Nothobranchius furzeri: one gene and its partners. The protein of the gene in region 7 interacts with the protein of the main gene of each other region in a pairwise test. Links are inferred from orthologs where the notes say so. Each region holds a gene or a part of one and is shown on either strand. Other genes may lie near its edges. The genes, in order: fuca2, pacsin2, cib3, pak1ip1, pcsk5b, fkbp6 and meox2a.

Evidence for each region.
Region 1: the proteins of meox2a (region 7) and fuca2 interact in binary tests that used the Homo sapiens proteins (3 or more experiments, as listed by UniProt). The two-hybrid records come from large-scale screens. The link is inferred for Nothobranchius furzeri from reciprocal best matches to the Homo sapiens genes MEOX2 and FUCA2.
Region 2: the proteins of meox2a (region 7) and pacsin2 interact in binary tests that used the Homo sapiens proteins (3 or more experiments, as listed by UniProt). The two-hybrid records come from large-scale screens. The link is inferred for Nothobranchius furzeri from reciprocal best matches to the Homo sapiens genes MEOX2 and PACSIN2.
Region 3: the proteins of meox2a (region 7) and cib3 interact in binary tests that used the Homo sapiens proteins (3 or more experiments, as listed by UniProt). The two-hybrid records come from large-scale screens. The link is inferred for Nothobranchius furzeri from reciprocal best matches to the Homo sapiens genes MEOX2 and CIB3.
Region 4: the proteins of meox2a (region 7) and pak1ip1 interact in a two-hybrid assay, tested with the Homo sapiens proteins (2 studies listed by BioGRID). The two-hybrid records come from large-scale screens. The link is inferred for Nothobranchius furzeri from reciprocal best matches to the Homo sapiens genes MEOX2 and PAK1IP1.
Region 5: the proteins of meox2a (region 7) and pcsk5b interact in binary tests that used the Homo sapiens proteins (3 or more experiments, as listed by UniProt). The two-hybrid records come from large-scale screens. The link is inferred for Nothobranchius furzeri from reciprocal best matches to the Homo sapiens genes MEOX2 and PCSK5.
Region 6: the proteins of meox2a (region 7) and fkbp6 interact in binary tests that used the Homo sapiens proteins (3 or more experiments, as listed by UniProt). The two-hybrid records come from large-scale screens. The link is inferred for Nothobranchius furzeri from reciprocal best matches to the Homo sapiens genes MEOX2 and FKBP6.

Annotation. Positions count from the first base shown.
Region 1 is NC_091758.1:20,099,361-20,103,491, forward strand, and holds the end of fuca2 (plasma alpha-L-fucosidase), read right to left. Parts: intron 2,233-4,131; coding exon 2,048-2,232; intron 1,328-2,047; coding exon 1,219-1,327; intron 1,128-1,218; coding exon 990-1,127; 3' UTR 575-989; downstream 1-574. UniProt on the Homo sapiens protein: Alpha-L-fucosidase is responsible for hydrolyzing the alpha-1,6-linked fucose joined to the reducing-end N-acetylglucosamine of the carbohydrate moieties of glycoproteins.
Region 2 is NC_091741.1:43,428,655-43,432,990, reverse strand, and holds the start of pacsin2 (protein kinase C and casein kinase substrate in neurons protein 2), read right to left. Parts: upstream 2,842-4,336; 5' UTR 2,707-2,841; intron 1-2,706.
Region 3 is NC_091751.1:45,117,352-45,121,584, reverse strand, and holds the start of cib3 (calcium and integrin-binding family member 3), read right to left. Parts: upstream 2,834-4,233; 5' UTR 2,412-2,833; coding exon 2,361-2,411; intron 1-2,360. Other genes in the region: admp (anti-dorsalizing morphogenic protein), read right to left, coding at 3,138-3,562, 3,693-3,882, 3,957-4,079, 4,162-4,233. UniProt on the Homo sapiens protein: Acts a an auxiliary subunit of the sensory mechanoelectrical transduction (MET) channel in hair cells. Plays a role in regulating hair cell MET channel localization and function.
Region 4 is NC_091751.1:42,045,141-42,049,284, reverse strand, and holds the start of pak1ip1 (p21-activated protein kinase-interacting protein 1-like), read right to left. Parts: upstream 2,831-4,144; 5' UTR 2,608-2,830; coding exon 2,530-2,607; intron 1,913-2,529; coding exon 1,750-1,912; intron 1,636-1,749; coding exon 1,515-1,635; intron 1,440-1,514; coding exon 1,365-1,439; intron 1,294-1,364; coding exon 1,241-1,293; intron 1,162-1,240; coding exon 1,016-1,161; intron 889-1,015; coding exon 791-888; intron 688-790; coding exon 588-687; intron 469-587; coding exon 339-468; intron 106-338; coding exon 1-105. Other genes in the region: si:dkey-222f8.3 (uridylate-specific endoribonuclease C), read left to right, coding at 3,353-3,363. UniProt on the Homo sapiens protein: Negatively regulates the PAK1 kinase. PAK1 is a member of the PAK kinase family, which has been shown to play a positive role in the regulation of signaling pathways involving MAPK8 and RELA.
Region 5 is NC_091757.1:46,927,233-46,930,853, reverse strand, and holds part of pcsk5b (proprotein convertase subtilisin/kexin type 5b), read right to left. Parts: intron 2,696-3,621; coding exon 2,502-2,695; intron 1,372-2,501; coding exon 1,287-1,371; intron 1-1,286. UniProt on the Homo sapiens protein: Serine endoprotease that processes various proproteins by cleavage at paired basic amino acids, recognizing the RXXX[KR]R consensus motif. Likely functions in the constitutive and regulated secretory pathways.
Region 6 is NC_091742.1:25,793,340-25,797,696, forward strand, and holds the start of fkbp6 (inactive peptidyl-prolyl cis-trans isomerase FKBP6), read right to left. Parts: upstream 2,808-4,357; 5' UTR 2,642-2,807; coding exon 2,591-2,641; intron 2,389-2,590; coding exon 2,271-2,388; intron 2,181-2,270; coding exon 2,091-2,180; intron 2,021-2,090; coding exon 1,818-2,020; intron 1,292-1,817; coding exon 1,172-1,291; intron 670-1,171; coding exon 472-669; intron 294-471; coding exon 184-293; intron 1-183. UniProt on the Homo sapiens protein: Has an essential role in spermatogenesis. It is required to repress transposable elements and prevent their mobilization, which is essential for the germline integrity.
Region 7 is NC_091745.1:64,691,374-64,695,591, reverse strand, and holds the start of meox2a (homeobox protein MOX-2), read left to right. Parts: upstream 1-1,407; 5' UTR 1,408-1,746; coding exon 1,747-2,302; intron 2,303-4,218. UniProt on the Homo sapiens protein: Mesodermal transcription factor that plays a key role in somitogenesis and somitogenesis and limb muscle differentiation. Required during limb development for normal appendicular muscle formation and for the normal regulation of myogenic genes.

The DNA of each region.
Region 1 (4,131 bases), on a different chromosome or scaffold from region 7:
GGGGGGGGGGGGGGGAATCAGCAGTCACGCGCTGGGGAAAGCCTGCTGGAGGACGGACGGAGAGAGGGAGGCATGGACGGGAGGAGGGGATCGGGGGTAACTGCATGGACGTGAAAACCCCTTGCAAACCCCCCATCTGCACGTCATGGAACATTTGCAGAACAGGGACCTCCCACCTTAAAGGCGCGCAGCAGAGAGCAGACACAACAGTGTGATCGACCCTCCACCGGGTGCACCATCTCCGCTGCGTTATCGCAGCTGCCGAAGGTCGGTGGAGGCTCAGAAGATGGATTTTTATCGAAAGAAAGAGCAGGAAGCAAAAACTTACCGTCCACCGTGTGCAGCCAGCCTTTCCACGGCTGTGTTTAAGAGGAGCTTTAGGGAGAGTGTTGTTTTGCTGGGTCATCTGTGCACAGCAGGGGTGCACCGCTCCGTTTAGATCCAGGCTGCTGTAAAATGTCCCACACAATTGGGATGCTGTTCTAGACCCCACAGAAGGGGGCACCAGAGAGCAACAAAACCGAAGAGAAACACCACAAATAACTACTTTTAGCAAGAAAATGCAAATGCCAGAAATTATTCAAATTATTTTATTTAATTATTCATACACAAAATCACAGCGACCCTATTAAATCCCGTTAAATACAGAGAAAAATCATCAAAATGTAAGCTAGAAACGTTTTTTTACATAAAAACCCAAACCCGGCAGAATGATTCTGTTGATTAAAATGTGCAAATTAGAACCAAAAAAAGAGAGATTTAGCTGCTTTTTGGCTGTAAGATAAAACCTCAGTTCAAGTTTTAAATGAATGGTCACAAAGAGCCTAAAAACGTATTTACTTCACAATTTAAAAAAATGAACATCAGTGCAAGTTTCAGAAAACAGTGTGGCTTTTATTATTCTCATGATTGAACCAATTTCTGAACACAAATAAGAAGTTTAGTGACTCAGACACATTAGCTTGTGTTCATGTGATGTGGCTTTCCCTTCAGGAGGCACCTGTCAGCTTCAAGGTCCAGGCCCACTGGCATGGCATCTGTCTGAAGGACAGTGGAGGCAGGGTGATGTTCAGCCCGCTGGCCATCGCCGGCTCCCACTGCAGCGAGCCATAACCCAGAAGCTCCACCTGTTTCAGGTAAGAGAGAAGAAAGACCGCTCATCTCTTACTCTCCTTGAGCGTGTTGCTCATGCATGAACTACTGATAAGTGAACATTACCTTGGTGGATCCTTGAGTGGCCACTGGTTCATTCAGAATCACCCATCCTTTATCCGGCCAATCCAGTAAAATAGCAAATACTGTCTTTTCCTGAGGTCTGGCTGTGTACCTGTGGAGGAACAACTTTAGCTTATCTGTTCAGATAAAACAAAACAGGTGTGTTTCATAAACAGTTACACTCTACCTAACTTAACTCTACTTATAAACTATCTATGATTCTTTAATACAACAAATTCAATTTTTATTTTATTTCAGTAGCTGCTGTAGCTAAGGAGACTCAAAAGTAGAAACCGCTGACATAAATATATTGTTTAATGGTCATTTATTTGTCTGATTAAGAGTTAATTACTAAAAATTGACTAAATTAGGCCTGCAGCTGTGCACTATTGTGGAAGGAGGGAAGGCAGGGTTTCATCTGATCCAAGCATCTTAATTCCAGGTAGAAGTAATGGGTTAAGAAAATAACTTATACTTGGTTAAAAATGACATCTCAATGGTGCCAATGTTAATCATTTACTGGAAACGTGTAAAATAGCATGATACAGGCCCTTTAACCTCTGATGATAAAACCTTTGGCGCAATCAAAATGCCAACTAATCATTTATTGTGCTCAATGTATATTTTTTATATTTCAAAATATAATCTGTTGTTTTAAATTACACTAAACATTACAATTGAAATCAACAATAGACACTAATATGGTAAAATTACTGAAATATTTTATATTTTTATGCTTGAGGCCTCCTGATAACAAACTAAAATAAAAAAGCTGTGACTAAGCAAATGTAACACAAGCTTTCCGATCAAAAGATCTAAAACGCAGACCCACCACATTTTTGTGGTTTCACTCTGAACCCGCCAGGCTGAGGTGTTGTAGATGGCCTCCCCGTTCACCTTCAGCCACTGACCCATCTGCCTCAGACGCTCCTCAAAGATCGGAGAGATCCTTCCATCGTGTGTAGGGCCGATGTTCATCAGCAGGTTTCCTCCACAAGACACTGTCTCCACCAGCGTCTACACACACACACACACACACACGCACACACACACACACACAGACACACACACACACACACACACACACACACACACACACACACACACACACACACACACACACACACACACACACGCACAGACACACACGCACACACACACGCACAGACACACACGCACACACACACGCACAGACACACACACACACACACACACACACACACACACACACACACACACACACATACACACACACACACACACAGCTTATGTAAGCTTATCTTAACAGATGTTTAACAACAAGTAGTAAGCAATCAGGAAAAGCCAAGGGGCAAACTCCCTTTGTCTAAACTTTAGACAAACATGCTTTAGTCTAAACACGCTGACTGGAATAACAAATGCTGCAGTAACAGGAATTGTGGTCAGATTCATGAGGAGTCACTGGCTGGAGCGGACCCGACTCATCCCAGAAGCTAATATCTTAATTTGACCTTGAATGAAAAATAACCTCTTAAAAGTTTTCATCACGCGTGGAGGCAGCGTTCATTTCTGCCTTCAGTCTGACGGCGCGCCGGAGTTAAAGCAGTGTGCGCACTTATTGAATCTGTGTGTGTGTGTGCGCGCGCACGCCTGCGCGGCACAGCCGCTCAAGTCACCGCGTCTCGTTATTGGCGCTATTTAAACCAATGTTGTAAAATTACTTCTGCCCAGCCCAGATCTGCTCACTTGTGCACCCGTGAGCCGTGGTTCCGCTGGAACGTGTCTGATCTCTGACAGACGCACTCTGAACTTCAGATCTTCAGCGCGCTGTCAATAGCCTGAATGGGAATCATTTCTTGTTATTTAGTTACATCCATAATGTTCTGTGTGTGAGGTTTACAACGTCAGAACACCTGCATGAAACAGGGTGTTAATTACAATCTGCCAGAATGACTCGCCACCTTCAGATTCCTCCAACACCGTTAAAAATGATCAAATACGGAACATATCGGCGTGCGCAGGCCAGAGTGCTGAAGCTCGGCGCATTGTTATTATGAAGCTAGGGCACATGTGGAGGACACGCGTGCGCGCAAAAATATACTTGTTTTCAATTACATTTATTGGGCCCACTTACTTTTTCTTCGGCCCGCCCACAAATGAGTTTCTATGCTAATGGTGACATATGACAGACTTCTCTGAGCTCCGCAGCCATTACACTTTTCACCTCGCGCACCCCCTAGCGGCAGCTCGCGCACCCCTGGGGGTGCGCGCACCACACTTTGGGAATCCCTGATCTAAAGTGAAGCCAACATGGAAGTGACAAAATCTGCAGTTCCCCATTCATCCACTAGGAGCTGACTCCAAAACAGAGAAAATTCCCATTGACTCCCATGTAAAAAAAATAATAAAGAAAGAAAAGCTGTAGCTACCGAATGGCCACGTTTTTCATCAAAAATGCCCAGATGTTAACTTTTCCCTTACAGGCCAAACCTCTTCATACAGGTCGATCTGACACCGTGGCGCCAATATGAAAAAATAAACTTGAGCCAATATTAACAAATCCTGCATTTGTCACGAGTCCTCAAGGCTGCAACATGCAGAACTTCTTATCTTTTACTCTGAAAAAGTCTATCTTCCCTGACTCATATAAATGACTTTAAAACTTCATATAATCATATTTTGTTGGCTGAATAGTTTGTTTAAATCCAAAATGTTTGAATAATGTGTCCTGACCTGAACTTTACATTGATGAATGATGGATGAATATTTTTCCTGAAATGATTCATTTCAGATCTTAAATTACAGCAGATTAGCATTTGTTGATTTTAGGAATTAAATCTATCAGTATCTTCACACCTCATATTATTATTATTAATGTTGAACATTTGTGCTTCACATAATCTATTTAAAATTTTCACTTCATACTAAGATATAACC
Region 2 (4,336 bases), on a different chromosome or scaffold from region 7:
AATTGCTACATTATGATGGCCACGTAGCGTTGCTGCCTTTCACAGACAACTGGCCCTCGGCATTCTTCAAATATCCAAAAAAAAAATGCCCGTACTTCCGACTTTGTCTTCTTTGAGGGGTAATAAATGTCCCAAGTGCTGCCGTCTCCTCCTGCCATTATTTCAGCTTTAGCTTAAAGAAAGTTTTGGTCGTAAACATCAAAGTGCGCATGTGCCGCCGGCAACTTCCAACAGATGATACGGTGGCTGGTAAGGGTCACTGCGCCTACACCGCAGCCACGGTAATCCACCGAGATATTTTTTTTAAACAAGACGGTTATTATTATTGTTAACTTTTTTTTACCGGGGTTTACTGCTACACCGGTTACCGTGACAACCCTAGCCCTGACACACTTTCAGATATTCTCATGGTGCAGCTGTGTTCTCCAGAGATCAAGGACTAGGACCCAAATGAGGCTGTAATGTTTTGGCACAAAGACGGTATCAGAAGCAGGAGGCCAGACTTCATGGACAGAGAAAACAAGGAGTCTGACTAGATTTCAATGAAAGAGTTCATAAAAACATCTCTAAAAATAAATAAATAAATAGTAAAAATGACAAAAGAGTTGTTTTCCTTATTAATTGATGTTTTAATTATTTTGTCACTCTGTTTGGAATCAACATAATATAGAATTACATGCTTTAGGTGGATCTAAATCATTTAGAATTTTGGCCGGTAAAAAATATGCTTGGCCGGTAGATTTTCATCATCTACAGGCCAATTGGCCGGTGAGTAAAAAATTTAATTTCGGACCCTGCCCACACCGCTGAAGAAATCCACAAATAAACGGGATGATGGGGATTTTCTTTATGCTTGTGGAGTTTAGTCATTTAAAACCATCACGTTTTTTCTTAAACACACTTGCTCATGAGAATGCTACCCGCTAGCTTAGTATTAGCAATGCTGCTCTTAGTTTAACTCTTGATCTCAAACTTTGGACCGTTTCTGCCAATGGACAATGGTTTCTGTCTTTGCTGGTTTCTCCATTTTCCTCCACAGCATCTAGATCACCCCATGGTGCTCCAGTAAAATGTGTTCAGACTGTGGAACGCACATTTAACGAAGCTTCGAATCAGTAAAAAAATGAATAGAGGAATTTAATGAATCGAACCATTCGAATAATTTCATGATTCGTTTCAGCCCTAGAGCTGACCATTCATCGCGATATCTATCTGTTCTTTGCAATATGCATATTGTGCATGCTGATATTGCGATAACTATATATTAACGATATATTGTGCAGCCCTAATCAAAAACAGTGGTCAGTATATAATTTATGTTGTGGCCAAACGAGCCGTGTTGTAACGAGGTTCAAGTAAAACTTGTGGTCCATCAGGTCAGCCATAACCTCTACACACCAGACCAGTCGGGCTGCTGAAAACTCCCTTAATCCATCATCAGAATAAAAACAATGGCAGTCGTTCCACACTTTCAGGCACTTTCCACTAACCATGCCAACAGAATGGAGAGGAACATAATGGAGGGAAATACGGTATTACACGAAAGGAAAGAGGGGATCCTTACATCATCAACAGGGCATGTAAAATTTCTTCCTGTGGAAGCCCTTTTTTATTGGCCACAGACACTTTAAAACATTACAAACAACAAGCGGTCAGCTTTTAACACATTTGAATGATCACATCTATTTGAACTATTTTGTGTACACTCTTAATGAATGCACCAAAAAGATTAATTCGATCTGAAATAGCCAACGTTTAGTTTAGTACAAGAACAATCAGTTCACTTGGCCTCTGACAAAAAGAGGAACTGAACATTTTCACTACTGCTTCACCCTGACAACATCCCTACAAACATGACACATTACACTGAACTTAGACCAGTCACTGAACACGTTTAAATCACACTGATGATCACCTCCACTGATTCATGGGAATATCACAAATACTGAGTCATCGTCCTAAAACAGGCCCAGTTCTCACTGAATGGAATGACACTTTAGGTGGCTGATATACTACAAAACACCCAATTTTCATTGTAAACCTCGAGTATAACAACAGTTTTCTGCAGTACAGAGGACTTGGCAGACTAGATGCACTGCGCAAACGTTAGCCCTGACTGAGCAGAACAGGGAGCGTGGGTAAGCCCCTTCACCGACAGGGCTGCTGGACCTAAGCCGTTTTTTTCCATTGTAAATGGACAGATTTTGCAATGATGGGTCCAAAAAGATATGCCATGCACCGAAGGGTTATCTTTACTTGCGAAAGCAGCCCCGCCCTTCAACACTCCTGGCAACGAAACGCTGATATCTCTAGAAAACTAAAGCCAGATGTTGTAAAACAGCACACATTATAATGGCTAAACAACAGCTGCAAAACCGGCGTTTCATAAACAACAATCACAGAGTGCACGGTTTATTCTGAGGACTTTTATACGAATGACCAATGACCAAAAATACATCTACGTATGTTATCAATGACAAACAAGTTGACCCTCAAGTGTCCATCCAACCATATTTTACCGCTAATAGTGTTGTTACATCCTAATAGTAGAATAGTTTAAGCTATTTTCGTCAACTTATCACCTTCCTTTAGAACGTTGCTTTAAGTTAGCCACTAGTTAGCTGTATTCATTAGCTAAGTAGCCACAGCCCTGAAAGTGAAAAGTTAGAACAACAGTAAAACATGAAACTTTCGGTGTAAACTTACCTCTACTTGGTTTATCGTTGCTTGAAATGTGGAATTAAATGGAGAGCGGTGCGTGTAGGTGGTGCCAACTAAGAAATCTCTTCTCCGCTTGTCTGCCTGGCAGCGGCACCGTGGAACGACTGACGGAGGACGGTGTGTCACAACTTTCGGTTACCCAGAGAGAGACGGACCATATCCGGTTGGGATTTTCAATATAAACCATAAACCTACTCTTGAAACATCTTGCTTGAAAATATATTTCCGACTTGCTTTTCCTTTGCAGTGAACTAATAAAATAAAGAACATACACTAATGGGAATAGAACTAAATTATAGTTAACAATACTGCAATAGGACACACCCATTTTCTATATTACACATCAATAGTTTACAAAAAAGATATGATGCTAATTAATTTCCTTAAATGAAATCTCATTTAGGAAAAACTTATGCTTAGTATAATTTCAGTGTAATTTACAACTATGTATAAATAAAGTCATGATTCTTTAATACTCCGCACCGCCTCGTATTTAAACCAGAGATCGTAGAAAGAGATTTAAACCTATGAATTATGTGAAGAACTTATAATGCTGCAGATCTAGTAGACCATAAAAATCTCACTAACATGAACTTAAAAATTAAAAAGTTAAATCGGGTTTTGTTTTTGGAGGGAAATCCAAGTTGGAGAGGAATAGATAACAGCTTTTATTTTGAAATAATATTTCCTCTTGTGGAAAAACCTGCATTTGATTAATTAATTCAACATTTAAAGAGACACGCCCACTGACATAACGTGCCTGAACTTTTCTTTTTCTTTTTGGGAGGCTGCAGAAGTTCAGACGTTAGTTTTAAAATAAAAATTACTTTTTAAGTCAGAATAAAACATTTATAACTTCGAGGACAACTGAGGCCATTCTAAAATCTTGTTTCAGACATACCTAAATATAAAACATGGTGTTATTTTAACATGTGTTAGATTAGATTTGGGCCTTTTAGGGAATCTTCTTTAATTAAAATCAGATTAACTTGCTATTAGTTCTGTGCCTAAAATGAAACATTGCTGCTCCACAAGCAAATGAGAAAGAAAGCTTAAATGTTTATCAACAGTCAGCACGCTCTTCTGATGATTTACTGTAATAGTAAATATATCCTAATTAAAATGAGGGGCTAGACTATTTCTTACATGAATGATTTGTTGTGTTTAGCAAACAAACTTGACACAAACAAGCTGCTGATGGCCTTGGACCATAGAGACATCAGAGGTAATTTAGAGGTTAAATAACAGAAAACAAAGCATGCTGCTAGCTGTAAATGTACATTTAACCCAATAATTTATTCATGTACAAATAAACACGCCTTTCTTTAGAAGGAAAGTAATAAGCAGACATTAACATTTCTGTATGTTAATTTTTTTTACAAACATCCACCCTATAAATAAACCAAAATACCCAATGAATAATTACTGATCTGAGCACATACCCATGTAATGCAGTTCCATAATTCTTACTTACCGATCTACAAGACCTTCTGGTTTTTATTTAATCTATTTTATATTTGAAAACGTGAATAAACCTGTTGCTATACAACCTAAAGGGCCTGTTTGTCAACAATTTGCCATAAATCAATATTAACTTTGTTACTGATGCATTTTT
Region 3 (4,233 bases), on a different chromosome or scaffold from region 7:
ATGTGGACCAAAAGCAAGTAAAACATCCTCATGAACTGTAAAAAATTTGATTATTAAACTAAAAGAATCCAAAAATGTATTTATGGGGAAATCCCTTTATTTGTACTGCTCAAAATAAGACCTTTTAATAGATATTTTATTAAAAACTGCAGTTATAAAATAATGTTAATGCTGTCATTTAGTTGTTTTCAATACATTTGTTGTGGTCTCTTCTATGATTGAATGCCTTGTGTGTTGATCTCTGTGTGAAAATGTTCTGGTGCTTTTATTTCAGGAAGTAGAAGTTAGCTAGAGGAGTGGGGGATGATGCAAATAGGGCAGGGGTGTCAAACTCATTTTAGCTCAGGGGCCAGAGGGAAATCTAGTCCCAAGTGGGCCGGACCGGTAAATTAAAAAAAAAACTTCAGATTGTTTTCTTTGTTTTAATACAATCAATATAAAACAAGGCTGGAGCCTGAGGACAGTGTAGTACAAGTGCAACACCTGAAGTGTACTTGAAAATTAAAAAAAAAAAAACCATTCCTTAGTGATTCAAAGAGCTTACAGATCACATGGCAAGATCAGTTTCATGCAGCACTTAAAGTATATTTGACTCATTTTACTTTACATATTTTAGCTTTCACCAGCACATCAATATCAGAAGTTATGGAACTAGGATTGGGACAAGTTACGAATCCAAAGTTACATGTGATGAAACATGTTCGAAGTTACAAAACTTGGTACAAGTTACGCTGAATATTGTCCCAAACCTAGTTCCATAATAAGTCACATCCTGAGTGGCAGCCAAATTCAGGATGTGATTCAAGTTCTTGTGTGAGCCTTGAGCGCAGCTTTGTTTTATTTATACTCATTACAGAGAAAACTTGCTCACAATGATAAATTTATTTTCACCCTACATTGTAAAGTATGAAAATAAAGTTTACACAACCATCTCGCGGGCCGGATGTTTGACACCCCTGATATAGGGAGTCTTAAGTCTCGCCCATCTACTTCCGGACCATGGGTCCCCGGAAGAACGAAAAAGTTAATGCAAGTCAAACGGGGCTAAAAACGCTATTTTCTAATTCCGCTCGTTGTGTGCCATGGATTTCACATATGATGCCCGTGAACTTTAAAGAAGCATTTTGATGCCAAGAAAGCACTGATTCTCGAACGGGGGTAAATGTTATTTTAGGTTTTGTGTGAAAATAAGTCCAGGACTACAAATGCACTTCACGAAAGTGACCTAATAGAAACCGACACGGATAAAAACAGAGGAAAATGGCTGTAAGTTCAGCAAACTTGAAATCCTTCCTTCAGGGTGAAAAAACCACCATACATCTGGGATTAATAAAGTAGTTTTGAACCGAATTTAATTGAATTGAATCTGGCCATGTGTTAAGTAGCAGCTACGCTAGGAGAGGAGATTCTGTGGTGACGTCATACATGCGACGTACCAGCGTCTGATTTGTAGTCATGCTAATTAAGAACTTTTACAAGCTGATAAATCTCAAAGTACGTGACAGGCATGATTGAAACACCCATCATTAGTTTTCATTTACATTGCAGTACAACATCTGTGCCATCCAGAGCGTAAGGCAAGGCGGACAATAGCTCTTTTAGCCCCGCTGACTTGCATTCATTTCTTCGTTCTCCCGGGGACCCATTAGCCGACCGGAAAAGGACGAGACTTAGGCTCCCTATTGCTTATTATGATATTTGGATATCTCGCCTCTGATTGGCTAACAGCAGCATGAATCTACCCCTGATTAATTCTGTTTACTTTGTAACGTTTAATGTTTTATCTCCACAAATACCACAAGCCTGGTGCAGTTCTGCCGTGTGATGGAGTTGCTAATGCTAACAGTTAGCTTCTGCGAGCTGAGACGTGCTCTCTCCTGGATGCAAAATCAACAGCCTTTTCTGTTGTAGCCTCTGTTCAGCCTGCATGTGACACCCAGAGTGATAATCCTATTTTTTAAATACAAGAAAAAAAAAGATTTTCTGTGAAGGTGGTCTTTTAAAAAAGTGTCTATATCAAGAGACTACCCCAATATCCTGTCTTATTCATGTCTACTGCCCTCTGGTGGAGGAGCCACAGGTTGAAAGGGTGAATTTCATTTATTTCTATTCTATAGTAATATAACTAAGTAAAGCTGATTATTATGTGGTTTTCGTAATATTACACAACTAGTAATTCAGTTCTACATTTTTTGGAGAAATAATTTCAAATAGGAAATTAAGAGGTTAAAGAAAAAGGCAAAAATATGGATTCAACAAACTCAGGCTCACACTGAGCTCAAACACACGAAGAGCTGCAACACATGATGTTTTTAGATCCCACGGGTCCAAGTCAGATTGAAACCAACACTAAAACTGACCTGATAGGCGTCTAGCTGCTGTGCTGTGAAGATGGTTTGTTTATTCCCCATGTCTGAGCGTCCAAACGCCGATCCTCAGATCCATCGCTGCTCCAGCACTGAGTGAATTTTGTTTTCCCCTCATGGTGCCTGAGTCAGATATGAAATACTGGGACAAAAGGAGACCAGAGCCAAAGGGGAGATCGGGTTTCGGGCCACCATAATGGCAGCATTTCATCGTTTTCTCCATTGTGAATAGCAGCCCCTCTGACGATGAATAAGGGCTGTCGTCCAGCATCGTGCCAAGTGGTTTCAACCCCCTTTGATGCCACTCTATGGCCAACGCCTCGCTCGCTGCTCAGGTTACAGCCTTCACAGGCCAGGTTTTGTAAAGTGCAAAAGAGTTGTAATGGGAGATGACTTTTGTTTCAGCTAAAAACCAAATCATTGCTTGATAGCTCATCTTAATTTTGGTACTCAATTACCTATTTAAACAAAGGTTTGCAGTTTCTTGGAAACGTTTAAGATGCAATTGTAAATTTGGGAATTAAAAAAGAAAATTCCAGATTGGTGAATTAAAAAATGTATTCCATTTTATTTTCCTTTTTTACCAGAAATTTACCAGAAAATGCAAAATGTACACATTTACATGTTATTCCAGACACCACTTCCATCACAGTCATATATTATTATTTATGGATATTTACATATATATATATTACAATGTCTAGAGGAATTTGGCACATTACTTATTATTTAGAGGTCAAAGGTCAAGTTACATTTGGTCAATGTCTGCAGTCAGTGGCAGCCGCAGCTTCCAGCCACCATGTCGTTGTACTGCTTCAGAACAACATTCTCATCATCGTCGAAGTAGAGCAAGTTGATGGAAAACAGCTTGTCCGGCACGCAGCACGGCGTCTGGATACCCCTCATCAGCTTCAGGGCATTGATGATGGACTGCACGGTGGCGTGGTTGGTCGGTCTCATGTTCTGACCCAGAGGGAAGGAGCAGGAGCCCTTGCAGTGATAAGCGTTGTAACCCCTGGGAGACACGATCCAGCCCGACCAGCCGATCTCCTCGAAGTCCACGTAGAGAGGGAGGCGCTGGCAGGGCCTCAGCTGGCCTTCCTCATCCATGTGGTCCAGGGAGCGAGCGATGCGGAAAGATGGGGCTGATGTGGAGATCTGAGGTAGGATGGAGGTGGAAATGGCCTCATGTGTGTCTAGGAGGAAAAAAAGAGTTTAAAGAATTTAAAAGGTGGTACATTTTATTTCCCAAATGCACTTTCAGTTGTAGAAAAGTCTGAATTGCACGAGTGTCCCCTGACCAGATCAATATGGCACAAATCTCACCTGCACTCTCCAGTGCAGCAGAGCGACGGCCATCATCAGTGAAGAGAACCAACATTGGCTGTTTGCTCTGATGATGGTGGCGCCCTGAAGCAAAGCGGATCACTTTCAGGTCCGCCTGGCTCCCTCCCAGAGTTCGAACCACCACATGGAGTCCCAGGTTACTGGCTTCATCTTGCATCCAGTGACGGACCTGCGGGAAATCCACCACTCTCAGTTAAAACAGCTTTTAAAGACCGAATGAAAATAAGTTTAAAAAATACTCACGGCTTGTGTGACCGTGAACACTTCCCAACCAGAGGAGTGGACTGAGACGAGTCTAGAAGACAGCAGCTTCCTGGCCTGACTGCTGTTGGTTTGGCTGTTGTCCAGGAGCTGATACACACTGACCTGAAGAAGGCAGAGGCATTTCCGTTGAAGACCCACCACGGTGCATTTCATTTCAGCCAAGAAATTTGCTGATTTGTTTTACCTGACAGAAGTGATGCCTGCTGGATGTCAGGGTCACCTGAGGGCGCAGCTTGAAAAGATGGAGCTCTGCAGT
Region 4 (4,144 bases), on a different chromosome or scaffold from region 7:
TTCCTTTGTCTCTTTTCTTCTTTTTAGGTTTGCTCTCATCCTCTAGAATGACTTCTTCTGTGGCGATTCGAACTCTCTTTGTCTTTGCAACTCCCTGAGCAAGTTCTGTGGACAGAGTGGGAGAAGGATAGGATGTTAGTAAAGAAAAGGCAAATGAAATATAGAAATTTTATACTTCAACATTTATCATAATTCAGAGAGATGAGTCGCTTTCTGCTGAAACTTAACAGTCTGGAAGAGTGTATGTCAGCTTGTTCACATAAAATAACTAAATAAAAATCCATATTATTGGAGGTATCTTTCAGAATTCAGAAAGAAATTAAACTCGTGGTGTCCACCTTGAGATTTTGTTGCCGCAGACTTTTCCTCAGCAACCTGCTGCCCTGATGAAGGCTTCCAGACAGCGAGGCACGTCAGTCTAGCTGCTGCGTTAACTTCACCCAGAAGGACAGGAGGATTCAGCTCCTGCTAAACAAGAAAAACAGTTTTCAACTTAATTTTCTCTTTTAAAGAAAAAATAAATATCCATTCCATAAGGTGTATGAATTTTGGTTTAAGGGGATAAAAATATTTAGAACAAATCCTGCCTCTTTAAGGTGGAGTTTCCACATTTTGATGAAACCATCATTTGAAGCCGTCACCATCACACAGTAATCCTCCATAATAAAGCTATCCACTGCTTTCACTCTGAAATGACAAACAGATATGAGGATAAAAAAAGATTTAAGTGCTTTTCTGTCACATTTTATGTAAGACAGAGAAACAATGCTGTTTAAAAAACATAACTCACCTGGTTTCATGAGCCTTGAACTCACACAGCCATTCAGCTTTTCCAACATCACACAGCCTCACAGTTTCATCATCTCCTGCGACAGCCAGGATGGCGTTCTGAATGATAAAACAGTTTAAACACAGAGCTCCTTCGTGGATTTTGCCCTTTTTAATCCGTGCTTTCATTTGGTTTATGTACAAAATCTCAGTTTAAGAATTTTTAAGTCTTGGCCTGAGAACTCACATTTAAGAACTTTATGGATGAGATCCTCTTTGGGTTTGTGACTGTTCCCGTCACAGAGGCCGTCTCCAACTTGTAAATATCCATTTTATCATTGAGCACAACCACATATCTATCCCCATCTGGAGACCATCTCACTATGTGTGCATCTGTGAAAAGGTGCAATTAAAAACATCTAGTTTTGTAAAAAGCTCCATTTTCTTTGGTCTAAGCCAACTGAAGACTTACTCTGTTTGATGTTTTTGATAAAAGCCGATCTTCCTTTAATGAGATTCCAGGTTCTACAATAATTAAAAACTGTTATTTTGGATTCTCGTTGATAATAAATTGCTTATAGAGCTGAGAGAATTACCTCAGACTCTTGTCCGTCCCTACTGTCAGAGCAAGTTTTCCAGATGGATGTACAGACAGTGATGTGACATGACCTCTGAGAAAGTAAAGATTCAAAACTATTAATGACAGCTCTTTCAATGCAGCTGCAGGAATCTGACTGCATGCTTACTTGTGAGCTTTGATGGACTTTACACACTCCCACTTCTTTGTGCTCCACACACACAAGAGTCCGTCTTCTCCTCCACTCAGTAAGTAAGATGTCCCGTAAAACTCAAGGCAGGTGATGCTGCCTGTGCAGCAAAGAGAGATTACAGTCAAACCACAAGGAAGGCCCTTCATTACTGTAGCACAAAGCTAATTACCCAAAGTCAAGATGTGAAACAAAAAATAAAATAAAATCATACCGTTATGATGCAGCAAGGCTCCATGCTCGATTCCCTTTTTCATATCGTACACCTGGATGGTTTCATCTTTGCTTCCTGTGACCACAAACCTCTCACTGGTTGCCACAGTTGATACTGAAGCTGTGTGAGCATGATGGGTAAAGTCAGGTATGGCTGTCCACTCCTGCATGACAAACAAAAAACATCTATTCAAATCTTAATTTTTGACTTTAAAATACATTTAAAACTGCATTGATAATATTCCTCGTATTTATTAAGTTTATTTCTTGCATGACAGCGCAACTTAGATGCATGTTAGTATTTATAATCTGAATTTATTAGCCATTTCCTTTAGATGAAACGTACAAACTGCCTTTCTAGTCTTTCTTTTAATATTTTGATGACTATTTACTGTGCAAATTAGGCAAGGCTGCTTTATTTATATTGCACATTTCAAACACAGGGGCAATTATTATGTCACGACAAAATGCACATTTGAAAGAAATATAAGAGATTAAAAGTGCAACATAAAAAGAAGTGACACTTTTTATACACTTATACATATACTAAAAGATTAACACTGACATCTCTGTGTTATTTTAGGCAATAAAGTATTAATTGTGTTTTGAGACAACACAAATAACTTGTTTTGTGATTTGCTATCTCAAAACAAATTTTGCTAAAGGCTACTTTTGTTATGGATGATCGTTAGAAAATATTACTTTAAAGGTTGTTATATTATCTCATCATTAACTAGTCTTGACATTTTCATGTTGTCATAACAAAAACAAGTTAACTCACTTTTTCTTCAGTTTTTACTTTGTAACCGAACGTGATCTGCTCGTAGCAGCCAGCGATTAGCCCCACTACAGCTGCCATGCTGCTAGCTAGCTGACTAGCTAGATGTCTTGAAAAATCTACTTTTATCTCAAGAAACTCTGCAGCTAAATTAAAGTTGTTGTCGCCAAAGTCCTAAACCAACACATACATGATAAATACATATGTGAAAATAAACAAAATAAACCACGCGGCGAACACACTAACACATAACTTTTTAGCTAAACACGTATTTTAATCCAAAATAACATGTGTAGGTGCTGCGCATGCTCACAACAACGTGATGATTTTGCAGGACGTGGGATTTCAAAATAAAAGCAGAAAAGGGAAAACTAATTTGTTTTACTGGTTTAGCGAACCTGTTGTAAAAAATTTAAAACTATCTTTGTTTTCAGTTGGCTGAGATAAAGGAAATGATGTTATATTTAAAATTAAGAAATGTGATGACAATGTGGGTCTTTGTATTTTTTTTTTTTTTACTTTTACTGACTTTTTTTTCTCAATACCAGTCTAGTACCTGGTAAATGTCCAGATAAAATCTATTTTCTTGATTTTCAGAATCAGAGCTTAATTCATTCAGGCCTAAAAGTCGAAACATAATGGATAAAACAAAAAACAGGATGTAAAATTTCAGAATGTCAAACCACAGACTAGGCCCCGCCCCCAGAACAAACCCCAGTCTTGTGATTGGCTGGTTACTTTACAAACGTCTGATTGACGACTCAGACTCGCTGTCTGCTGCAGTTTTCTGAAAACTCGCTGAGTTTTTCCTCTAATAGAAATCATCATGGCCAACAGGTGAGTCTTTACTTCCGAGAGACTCTCGGTGAAAAACTTACTTTAAACATTTAATCTCTGTTTATATTAAGGATCTCACTTCCATTTGAGCTAGTTAATTTAAACTAGTTTTAGACTTAATCACATTTTGTTTTTTAAGAAATATTAGCTACTGTTGTAAACACGATCCTTGGTTTACATTGTTTTTCATCGTTTGTCTTTTAAATTGACCCGTTTTGTCTTCTTTAGACAAACGATGTTTAGTTGAAGAAGTTTAAATATGTTTATGTTTTGAGTAGGACTAAATGTTGTTGGGCAGCGGAAGCAGCAGAGTCTGGTAATGAATTGTGGTGAATTAAACAACAGGACATAGCTGAGTTTATGCTGTGATCAAACGTTGCAGCTGCTCTTCCTTGTCATGTTCACATCTGTGTTTGGGCTAAATAAAAAACAGAGAAGTGTTTGTGTTGGTGTGTATTCCCTTCCTGACATCTGCTTCTGTCCAGCTTTCATTACTAAAAGGGTGTGGCGATTTTAAAATAACAAGAGTATTTATTTGCAAGTTTTAAGTATAAGATGATTAAAAATTATTAGACCAGTAGCACCAGAGGTGAGAGTATTCTAAAATGTGATTTTTTTTTGTCCACCAATGCAAAAATAATTCCATGAGTAACTTGATGAGGGTGTGGTTTTATTTTGTATAGCTAAAGTTGTTTTTGTATTAGTTTTCTGTAATGCTGTTTTTTTTATTTAACAAAATAATACACCACTTATGATTAAAATGTCAGTTACACAGATTGTG
Region 5 (3,621 bases), on a different chromosome or scaffold from region 7:
AGTTTACATATATTTGTATACATCTGGGTGATGGGGTGAATATAAGATTGCTCAGTCAGGCTCCCAAGTGGAAAACAGTTGGGATGTTCTGCTTTCACAGTTTCATTCTGTGAACCCAAACCAGAAACTCACTGTAATACACTGATCTAAATTAGAAGCAGAGACTCCCTGTAAAGTAACTAAAAGTTGTTTCTTTATTTTATTTTTAAGCACTTCATTTTGTTTTCTTGTTTTTTTTTTTTTTTTTACTCGACTATTTTCCTGTCAGTCTCTAATCTTCCTGCATCTCCTCTCAACCCTCCAGAAACATTGCTGCCTGGCTTTCTCCTTTTTCATCCTATGAGTTACTTTGGAACTAAGCAGATCAAAGGGATCTACCGACCGCAAAAACAGCGGACTGTGCACTGCGCAGCCACGCCAGTGAGCAGAAATCACAGGAGCATGGGTGTTGAGGTCTGCAGCAGCGGAGCGCGTCAGGGTCAGGCATGAATAAAAGACAGGAAGTACCAGAGAATATGAGCGAACATGAACGGTTGTTAATTATATATATATATATTTTTTTTTGTTGTTGTTGTTGTTGTTTTGTTTTTTAATGCTAAAGGCTTTCTCCAACAGAGCTCCTGGGTCAGATGGTTTCATGTCATTTTGCATGCATCACCTAATTTGTCCCTAAATTTAATGAAATGTAGGTTGTTTTAACAAAAAGCGAGAAACCTAGAGCAAAACTTGTTATCCGATTCACTGCCATCAACAACTAAAGCCATCATTAACTGGGCGTGCTTGGGGACGCGCTTGCACACACTGAGTGTAAGCATCATGCCTCTAAAGTTGACTTTAACCCATATATGTCACATGATCATAAAGTAGACAATCCATGAATAAGAGACTGTTTTGGGGCGTCGCTATGCCTAAAGCGAGGTGCAAACCAGAAAAGCTTCTGCAGCTCACACTTGTACAGCGGATTGTGAAAGAATGGAAAAAGCAAGAAACACTCTGTTTCTTCCTGATTAAATAAGTGAGTCAACTCTTCCTTTTGGTAGTTTTGGTGTTTACAAGGTCATGCAGCACAATATTCTGTGGCTCTTCAAAAAAAACTGTAAAAATGCTCAAAAGCGCTGGCAGTCAGGGGCTTCTGTTCAGATAAGGGCTGGAAGTGAATGAGTTAAAAAGCGGTAAAGAAAGATTTCATTTCCTTCCTTGCTAATTCAGGAAATGTTAGATTAACATGAATGTTAAACACAAGGGATTATACAATGAAAGACTTGGTTTCTCTAGACTCAGCTTACCTCATCCCAGGTTTACACTCCGTGCAGATGCTAGAACTTGTGCACTTTTTGCAGTTTTCTAGACATCTTCTGCACATGTGCAGATCTGAAAGACAAAATGGGAGCATGTCAGAGGAGAGCCAGAGGTCTGGTTAAAATGGGGGGGAATGGCACAAAGATAGCAGCAACTGAAATGAGCAGAAATAATAAAGGAGATAGAAACATCTGTTCATTTCGGGGTTCAGACTGCACTGAACGCTTGATTTTGCTCGAAACACTTTTGGTTATTTTTACCATTTATTAATCCATCATGTCAGCGTGAGGTTGTCAGAAATACTGTTACTACCTTTGGCTGACATCATATGTGCTTTCATTATAACTTTATTTCTAAAAAGTTATTTTAAATGATAAAATGATGAATCTGCCAGTGTGTTGGATGAATTCTCCCACTTTTGCTGCCAGAGTGATGAAAAGAAAATGAACCAGTTTGCTCTTTTTAAAGTTGGACCAGAGTACCCAGAGACTCTGCCAGGATTCACACTGATGCGGCTGCAAGAACGTACAGAAAATTAACTGATGCATTGAGTCTTTTGTTCCTCATCTGCATTCGTCCAGGCTGGGATGTAGATTTGACTCATGTTCAAGACGTGAACATCTCATTTTAATGTGTGCCACGAATGAACAGGACTGCACAAATCTATTAATTATAAAAAACCAAAAATAAATCAGTAAAAAAAAAGAGATTTTTTCTGCTTTTATGGCTAACTTTTAGGGGAAGAAAAGCCAGTTTGCTAGAGCAGAATTTTTTTCTTGCTGGATTCAGCAAGTGTGAGAAAATAAACAAGTGGCTAGACATTAGATCAAAGATAAAATGGCATCGCTTGAAGTTGGAAGGTAAAAGCAGTTTTTGCAGATTACATTTTTTGTAACACAGATGGCAAACAGATGTTTTTATTTAAAAGGTCCAGTCTACTTTCCCGTTTGTGGAAAACTTTCTCCATCCAGCAAGAATTTAGCTCAGTACTCTTATCATTGCAGCCAGGAGCATCAATAGACTGATAGAGGGTAAATAGTTTGAACTATCAAAGCTGAGCAGTCATTTCCTATTTCTGTAGTGGCGAGAGAGAGAGAGAGAGAGAGCGAGAGGAGAGAGAGAGAGAATGTTAAAGGAATCCTTTTCAAATATCAAGATTGCCTGACTGCATTACGAGGCGCCACACGTGCACACAAGCGTACCCCTGTCGAGGTAGAAGCTGTCGCCACAGTTAACGACGCAAGTGTTGGAGTCCTCAATGAAGTGGAAACCGGGTCTGCACGTGATGCACTGGTCGCTGCGACTCCCGACACAAGTCTCACACGTAGAGGAGCACTTCTTGCAGCGCTTCCTGTCGTCACGGAAGAAGCCACTTGGGCATTCGGAAACACACATCCTGAAACGAGAGGGGATTGGGAAAAAAGGAGGAAAAGAGTGTTTTACAAAACATTTAGATCATACCTTTGTGTGTGTGTGTGTGTGCGTGCGTGTGTGTGTAGGTGAACATCTGCTGGAGGACTTCCCTGCTCCGTGCCACCCCCTCTGATTCACCCACAGGAAACTTAATCGAGGTGAAAAAGACCTCTAAATCCTCAAGAGCACAAAATACCCCCCAAACACACACTCTTTAAGCTTTGCACACACACTAGAGTTTTCTGCCAAGAAACACATCTGGCACGAGTGAGACACTTAACTCATGTGTGAAAGCACACACTGGCACGTGTTCGTACTGCACACCTTCCACACCTGCTCTCTCTGCTGCGCTGAACTCACAGTCAGTGCAAATGTGTGTCAGGAGTTACTCAAATCCAAACCTCGTCTGTCTTTTCAAACTCATCTTCATGTTTGTTTGTTTTTCTTTTTCGCCAAATCTGCAACCAAGATTTGTGGATCATCTTTCACTTTAGTTAGATAATAAAACCCAAAAGAAGTACTTTAAAAACGCATGAAACATAACTTTCACAATATTATAATTTATTGTAAAGAAAGAATAGAGAGAAATATTTTATCCATCCATCCATTTTCTTCCACTTATCCGGAATCAGGTCGCGGGGGCAATAGCCTAAGTTGAGAGGCCCAGACTTCCCTCTCCCCAGTCACTTGGGCCAGCTCTTCCGGCGGAATCCCACGGCGTTCCTTGGCCAGAAGAGAGACATAGTCCCTCCAGCGTGTCCCGGGTCTTCCTTTAGGCCTCCTCTCAGTTGGACGTGCACAGAAAACCTCACCAGGGAGGCGTCCAGGAGGCATCCTGGCCCAAGCCACTCAACCTATCTGTAAGGGAGAGCCCAGCCACCCAGTGAAGAAAACTCATTTCAGCCGCTT
Region 6 (4,357 bases), on a different chromosome or scaffold from region 7:
ACCAGGGCATTGCAGGAGAACGTATGAAGAAGACATTTATTATTTCTATACATGTTTTGGCTGTCAAACTTCCATAATGTCCCTTTAAAGTTTTACATTGATGTCATTTTCAACATATTGTGCTACGATTGTCACTCAGTTAGCCACAGGAATGAGAGCAGCTCCTTAATGAACTCTGCTTACATCGCCACTTTCCTCAGAAGGTTGTTGATGTCGGAGTCAAACGGCTTCCTCGCTTGAGCAGAAATGAGGCAACTCTGAGCACACTCATACTCAGACAGCTCCATGTAAGCCTAGGACAGAAGACACAAGTCTGAATAAGATCAATCAATCAATCAAAGCTTTATTTACATCATTTTACATCTAAAATGGCTCTGAAGTTTGCTTTGCTGAAACAAAGCTGTTTAAAACTAGAGAAGATTAATTCTGACACAGTGGGACAATATCGGAGTGCTAAAAGTCCAGTCTGACCTGTCCACAGCGGTAAAGAGCCTTTGTGTTGGTAGCATCTATCGCTAAGGCTTTTTTGCCGTACTTGAGGGCTCTGCGTGGGTTCTCCAGGCGGAGCTCGGTGAGAGAACAGTTCAGATGGAGAGGCAGCAGAGCCGCCTTGATCTTCTCCTTCTCTGGTTCACTCTGTGCTGTTCGGTTTCCCAGCAGAGTTGCTGCCTGTGCAAAAGCAACAAAACACACTCCCGTCTGAACTAGTTCACATTAAAGAGCAAGTCACCCCCAAATCAACATTTTTTTCTGATAAACTATATAAATGTGTGTCTAATCGTGCTGCAGACACGTGTCGTCAATAGTTTAGCACTTTAGTGCATTTTAGTTAAAATTTTAATTTTCTGCCTAAAACTGTCAGTGTTGTGCCGTTGTCAGGTGAAAACTCTGCACTGCATTTGAATTTAAATCTGCCATCGCTATTGGCTAAGAGGTACCCTAGAACGTTAGCTGGTACCATATGATGTCACAATGTCGTTGTGAGCCTGTGTGTGTGTGTATTTGTTAGCTGCTCCACCCTCTCGTTCTGCTAGGCAACAGCATGTATTGCCTTTTTCAGACAGGAAGTGGGAGTGCAGTAATACTCTGGTAGGGGGTGACTTGCTCTTTAAGATAAAATGCACACACCAAAGAGAACTATTAGCTACAGAAGTAGAAAACCTAACTGTACCCGTTTATAGTTATCTTTGGCGTTTTCATATCGGCTCTGGTTGAAACAGCGGTTGCCGAAGCTGCGCAGTGTGTTGACGACGGTGAGGAACATGGGGAAAGAAACGGCATTCTGTTCCTCCTGAGGACAAAAGCAGAAAAGCCACCAATTTACTTAAATCATTGAAGTGCGTGTTTGAAATGCTGTGTAGTTTTCTTTTAGGTGCATCTCAAACGAAGGAAAAGCACTCGTTCTGCACTGGTTGTTCCTGAGGAGAACTGGTGCCTAACTCCTGAGGTCACTGGGCGAGAGGCACAGGACAGGAGACACACTGGACAAGTCGCCAGTCCATCACAGGGACAGAAACTGACTGGAAACAACCATTCATGGTTTTGGTCTGTAGAGGAATCCAGAGTGTCTGCTGAAAATCTAGACATTCACAAAGACAACATGTGATCTCCGTGCAGCAAAGCCACAGCTGGGATTTGAGCCTGCAGCCTTCTCGCTGTCATAGAACTCAAGTTGTGTCTATTGTAGTAGAATCAAAAAGCCATACTTCTCATTTACCAAGAACAAATGAAGAGAAGTACAAATCAGGCTGGCAGCTGATCGAGCATGTGTAACACCTAAGTGAAAAAAATACCAGTTTACACAGCAGCATCCCTACCGGACTCCTCGCGACATAATCATCAACCAATCCTGAGTCAAGATAGTCGAGGAGCTGGACCTCGTACAGGATCGTGGCTGAAGCAGGGATCAATGGAGGACAGCCCATGTCTCCGTAGGCATACCGGGGCTGGAAGAGGAAGCGTGAGAACTCCCCTCTCTTCATGGTCAACAGACCCATCTCCAGTCCAGCTAATGTCACCTCTGTTAAAATTATTTAAAAACCATTCAAGCTCAAAATGTGATTTACTGAGCAGCCTGGATGAATTCCTACCTTTCCCAAGCTTCATCAGTGGGGGGTGCTTGATGTAGGTGTTGGATTCATAAGGCTGATCAGAATACTCCAGAAACCCAGAATAATACACTATTTAAGGCACAAAAAAACAACATGCTGAACATTATTTGTAAATTATACATGCCTTTAGAGGACTTAACAATATCTCAAGCATTATACTCAATACTGAAGCATTTAGAGGCACAGGTGGACCCTCTCCTGGGTGGACCACCTCCTTCAGGATCCCTCCGTCCCCCAAAACGTCGTCCATCCGCTGCATTAGCAGCTGAAAGGGAGTCTACAATGACGAAGACATTTGGAGCTGTTTTCAGTCTGTTACCAAAACAGCCATAAATGACCAGCCCAAGAGACGTTTTCTAACAACCCTTTCTAAATAAAAGTAGACGTTTGTACAAACATAAGACTCTTTAATTTAATTAGAAAAACAAAGCCACATTTAGCTAAGCTAAAACTCGGCTAAGCTAATCGCTTCGACTTACCACAGAAGGGCGCATCCTTGCAGAAGTCGGTACTAAACCGTTTAAAGGCATTTAATCGCGGGCCAAAACTTGTTTCTGAAAATTAAACCTGATGTATGCGGTGTCAAAAATGTAATTAGCTTTAAATTAATTGTTTTAGCTGTTATTTTTCTGCTTTGAGTCAGACGCGTCAGCTGCCCCGCTACGAACATGTAGGCAGGTTCAACATCTGTGTACCAATTTGCTAACCAACCAGGTCAAGATGTCAAATTTGAATTTCTTTTAAATGTTTTTTCTTTGTCGCATAATAACTGGGTTTTTTTTATAAATACGTGTGCACAAATTTGTTCCTAAATTAAAGTACACGCTCTGAATCCCAACAAAATCTCAACAAAAGCATGAGTTCCTCGAAATGGAATGCAGCCATCACCTGCAGGTTAAAAAGATGGCGCCGATTTCCCCCAGGGCTGCCAGTTTTTGCAACAACAAAAAAAACCTTTATTGGGTTTAACACAGTTACATAAATTGAGTTTTGTGTTTTTAGCTAAACAATAAGAGAAAAAGACCGTTAGAGCAAGGTACCTGGTTACAAATGCTAAAATGTCATGGTGTTTAATTATGAAAGATTTTACAGAAAGTATTCTACCAAGTATGTTAACTTATAATTGTTGTCTGTTCTCCTTCTCCTCAGTATTAATTTTCCAAAGACGACGAATAAAAAGCCAAATATTAGAATTTTTTCCCACTTTAGTGAGACAAGGAGGCTAAATTACATCGACTAAATTGAGAGCCAATATGTAGTTTCAGCTTATTGCCACTGGAGGGCGTCAATACTCCTTCTCATTTATGAAAAGTTATAAAGAAAGTTTGTAGCGCTGTAGCTTTCTGGGTTTAGCACTTTGACTCCACACAGCAGTTGTGTTTAACATTGTTATACAAGTACACATTTACTTGTGTTTTTGCTAACTGCTGAAGGACTCCTTGTCCCTGTACTGGAAATCCATCTGAGCTGCTGGAAATGGGTGTTAGAATAAAACACTACCTGGCCAGAAAAATAGTCACCACCAAAGAAATAAGGTCACACACTGTAATATTTCATTGGACCGCCTTTAGCTTTGATTACGGCACACGTTTTCTGTGGCGTTGTTTTGATAAGCTTCTGCAATTTTACAAGATTTATTTCCATCCAGTGTTGCATTAACTTCTCACCAAGGTCTTGCATTGATGATGGTAGATGATGGCTGTTCGAACGGGGGTGGAATGGGTAGGACGACGGCTCAGAGCACACCCACCAGCTCTAGAGCACACCAGCCATTCTGAGATTCTCCAGAACTCACAGATTGCCAGTCTGCCTCTACCCTCGGCAGGCTGTGACACAATCAACCAGAACATCCTACTTCGGAGGCTTGATTTGTGGGTGGAAATGAAAGGGACCCCACTTGACTGGTTCTGGTCATACCAGTCAGACAGACGATTCAGCATCCACATTGCCGAATGTTCCCTCCCTCTGTGCCGCTCCCCTCGGGAGTGCCTCTAGGTTCAATGCTGGGGCCACTGCTCTTCTCAGTCTACTCGCTACGACTGGGAAAGATCTTAGAAAAACTTGGACTGTATGGAGCTAGGATTGGGACAATATTCAATGTAACGTACCAAGTTTTGTAACTTGGAACATGTTTCATGACATGTAACTTTGGATTTGTAACTTGTAACTTTAGTTGTCCCAATCCTAGCTCCATAGAACTGCATTACCATCTGTATGCCAACAACCACCAGATTATTTGGGCATTA
Region 7 (4,218 bases):
GTGTTTGGATCAGAGAACAGCCGAGTTCCACATGGTCCAAAGAGCAAGAAGACTAGAGCAGAATTTTAAATTAGGTTCATGTACTCTTGAATATAATTGATGAATTCATTATTATTTATAGCAATTAGACCAAGTTTCATGTGTGGATTTGATGCCCAAATCCATGTTTCTAACTAGTATTTATTTTAAAAACTATACATATAACTAAAATATTTGAATTGTATAAATAAAATAGGTTAAGAAAAATTTGTTTTGTCAACAGATTAAATTAAATAAAAAACTGAAAAGAATAAAAAAGAAACATATTCCTTAAAATATTTTATGGCCTTAAAAAATAATTCCAAGTCTTAATTAACACAAAATAAATTTATGTGCAGAATTTCTCTTTTATTAGGATTAAAACAAACCTGATTCATGCAAATAAAATACTTACTAAGGTAAAAAAAAGAGTTGTAAATAAACATTTAGTGACATCAACATAAAAAACTGCTTCAGAGGTTGGATGGATAAAAAGCAAGGGGTCTTACTAAAGAACCCTGAGGGACACCACAGGTTAAAGAAGCTGATTTATAAGAAAAATCTCTGATGTATACAGAAAAGGATCCTTCGCTCAGATAAGAGGCTAACTTATTAAAAAGGTTCCTTGAACGTTCTCAAGACGAGGGATAAAAAGTCATGACCTGCTGGATCGAGTGCAGCTGTGAGATGCTGTGATAAACAGCTCCGACACCAGAGTCAACAACAATTAGAATATCATGAATCGTCTTTAAGGGCTGGATTAAACCAGATTGAAAACCCCACACATATGGGTATGTGGTTAAAAAACTACTGGAATACAATGATCCACCTTCTCTTTTAAAAGTAAAACAGCGTAAAGGCGGGTTGTGACGTCCACAGGGTTCAGTAATCAAAAAAAAAAATCCACATTTGAATCTGTATTTGTGTATCAGTTGATTCATTCTTTATTTTAGCCGCTAAATAAAATAATAACAAAGTGTGAATTATTTGTTTACACAAAAAAATTACTCAATAGGTGACAGGAAGCCGGAGAGCATCACCGTGGCTCCCGGCTGTGGCGGTATTTGTTTAGCGATGCCGTGACGTGCTGAGTTAACCTTTGACATCTCTCCACTTCCCCTGACTCCACATCCCCTTCTTCCAGCCACACCCGTGAGACATTCACGTCGTTTTTAACACGTAAAAATCAAAAAGAAAGGGAAGATGGGCACCACAGGTCAAGTCCAAAATTAGGCTCAGCCATTTTAATAGTGTAGATTTATTATGCTGTGCTTTTAGGAGGGTGATCATATATATGTGGTCAGTAGCGCGTATGCAGTCTATGACCCAGCCTCCCTCTCACGTTACACCCTATTTATAACATCCCCTTTGCTGGCTCCCCTCGTTCTGCAGTTCCTAGGAACCTCCTGCGCTTCCAGCCTCGAGCCTCAGTCTTGTGTTCCTCCTGACATCTGAGAAGAGGTGCAGCAGCTTGTCCTGGGCTAACTGTTTATCCTGCACAGCCTGCCAGGCAGACGCATGCTCTGGATTACCACAGGACACCAGTCTCAGAGCACTTTTTGCTCTCCACGCTGACTTTTTGATTACTGTGCTTTAAGGGGAACACAGAAAAGGTTTTGGGAAAGTCTCTTGGATATGTGCGTGTGATCTTTCTTTGTTTCCTGGTGATTTAGTAACTTCATCCCCGTTACCTGCTCGTCTCACCTGTACTGGAGGTCTCCTCACCCCATGGATCACACGCTGTTCGGATGCCTGCGGAGCCCCCATGTCCCGGGTCAGGCCCTGCATCCTGCCTTCACCCAGTCCCCCCTGACTCTTCATGGACGCTCAGATCACATCACCTACCCCGACCTGGCCTCTTCATCCTCCTCCTCCTCCACATCTTCCCCTTCGCCCTGTGTCATCTCCAGCTACTCGACTGATGATGGCCTGTTTACCCACCACCACCACCACCACCACCACCGGAGTCACCTGCCTTCCCAGCAGCATCACCAACAACCTCAGCATCACGCATCTTGGCACATCCCACAGATGCCGTCACCTGGCGGCGGCAGTGTGCGTCACGGCCTCTGCCACCCGCATTCCCTCTCGTCCCACGAGAATGTTCCCACACCTCCGGACCTGGGCCACCCCGGGGCACCCAGTATGTGCGCCAGCACCCCGACGCTGGGCAATGACAGTACCCCCACGGGGGCCTCCTGCGTACCCTCAGACTTTGGCAGACAGACTCTGTCACCTGCCGAGGCTGAGAAGAGGAGCAACAAGAGGAAAAGTGACAGTTCAGGTAAGAAGAGATGAGATGATCCTAGAGAGGGAGTTTAATTCTATTATTTCACAAGACCGCCCACACGCAGACTAAAAGTGAATCAGCATTTTTAAAAATGACCACAAACATCTGTACAAGTTGGCGGGATTCTGGGAAATCCACAGCTGTGATAGAAAAACCAAAAATCAGTTTGTAGGCGTCGGCTGACACGCAGCGACGCTGCAGGCGTACGGCGGCGCTGAGCAAAGGCCACGCTGCGACTGCACGGGCACATCTGACTGCTGGCACGCTTTGTGTAAAACTAACATCTGGTTTGTTGCGACGCTCTTCAGAGGGCAGAAAACAAGGTGCACAGTTAAGAATTGATGTCATGGATTGTAAAAGGCAACACCGGCGCCTCGTGCTGCACTTAACGCCTCACTGAGGCAAACATGTCAGGTCTTTTCTTCTTTCTGAATCTTGTGGTGAAAATAAATCACTGGAACGAAGCGGGAAACATAAGGAGTCACGATGATCTAAGAAGGCAAACTTTTAAATAAATGAGCACACTGGAAAGAAAAATCTCAAACAGCATGTTATTATTTTAATAATTAAAACAGTGATCAAATGTTTTACTAATTTACCAACAAATATAGTTTAACTTAAAAAATGATCTGCTTTGTAGCGCTGCTTTTGAGTTTAATTTAACAACTTTAGCCCGTGTCCCCTCAAAACCCTAACCCTAAATTACGTTTGAATCAAGCTGAACCAAAGAATCACACAAATACCACAAAAGCAGATTTGACTAAATGTGTACCGACTGAGATCACCTGCTGGATGACCTGCAGACACCCACCGAAATAATCAATCACTGCCTGACAAACGTCTGGGTTTAGGTCACGGGAGTCCTGGCAGGGAAGCTGATATCGCTGAGAGTTTCAAGGAAACGTGTGCTCGCCGTTCCCTCAGTCCTTTTGTGGATGGCAGAGCTTCAGCGCCGATCTTGCATCCTTTTAAAGGCCTCTGTTGTCACATCTCAGATTTTCTCATATGGGATTATAATTTTGATTCCAACAGTTTATAAATAAATGTTTGTAAATTTTATTTTAGAATAAGCCTTTGTTGGGTTTATTAGCCCCGCCCCGAAACACGACTGGAAATAATTTGATTTATAATTCACAGTCAGTCCAGATGTGATGGAATTGGAAGAAAATTGGAAAAATCATTGCAACACAATAAAAACAAAATGACGAAGCCTAATTTATTTAGTTGTTCCGAGTTAAACGTCCAGTTATCCAAATGGAAAATGTTGCAATCGCATATTTCATCAATGCGCTGCTTAAAAAATTTTTCTTCTCTCCGTTTGAAATCCCCGGAAAACCGAAATCCTGCCTTTGCTGCTGCGTCAGATGAGCTATGCATTCTCGCCACAGCAACACCAATCATACTGATTATGGAGGCTAACGACACTGCTGACTCAGTCAGCTGTCTAAATATCAGACCGCTCGCTGCCTTCTGCATGAGATAGAGCCTGGCTTGGATTCCAGCATCTGGACCAGGAGCTCGAAGGAAACCTGAATTTAGCAACAGAAATAAAAACAAAACCTGAGAACTTATTTCCATGTTCAGTTTTTACCTCCTTTCTCCTCCAATATGGATCAGTTTTCTGCTTTTGCTACCAGGTTGTGACTGTTTCCTGATGCCAGGCTGCAGGCTCAGTTAATGAGCTGAGTCAGGGAGTCTGGTTTCTGCTTGGGTTTGGGGTTTTTTGTGGGTCTTGTGAGGAAAGGGTGTCTTTGCTGAGTTGATAGTGCTGCGGAGGGAGTGGTCGTCCTTTAAAAAGTTCAGAGTTTTCTGACAGAAACAATAAAAGATGCTTTTTTGGATGAGGTGTTGTTATAAAAAGTGCAAGCGTGAGGTGCCAGAGTCTTCTCGCTGGCACTAAGAGTCGCTCT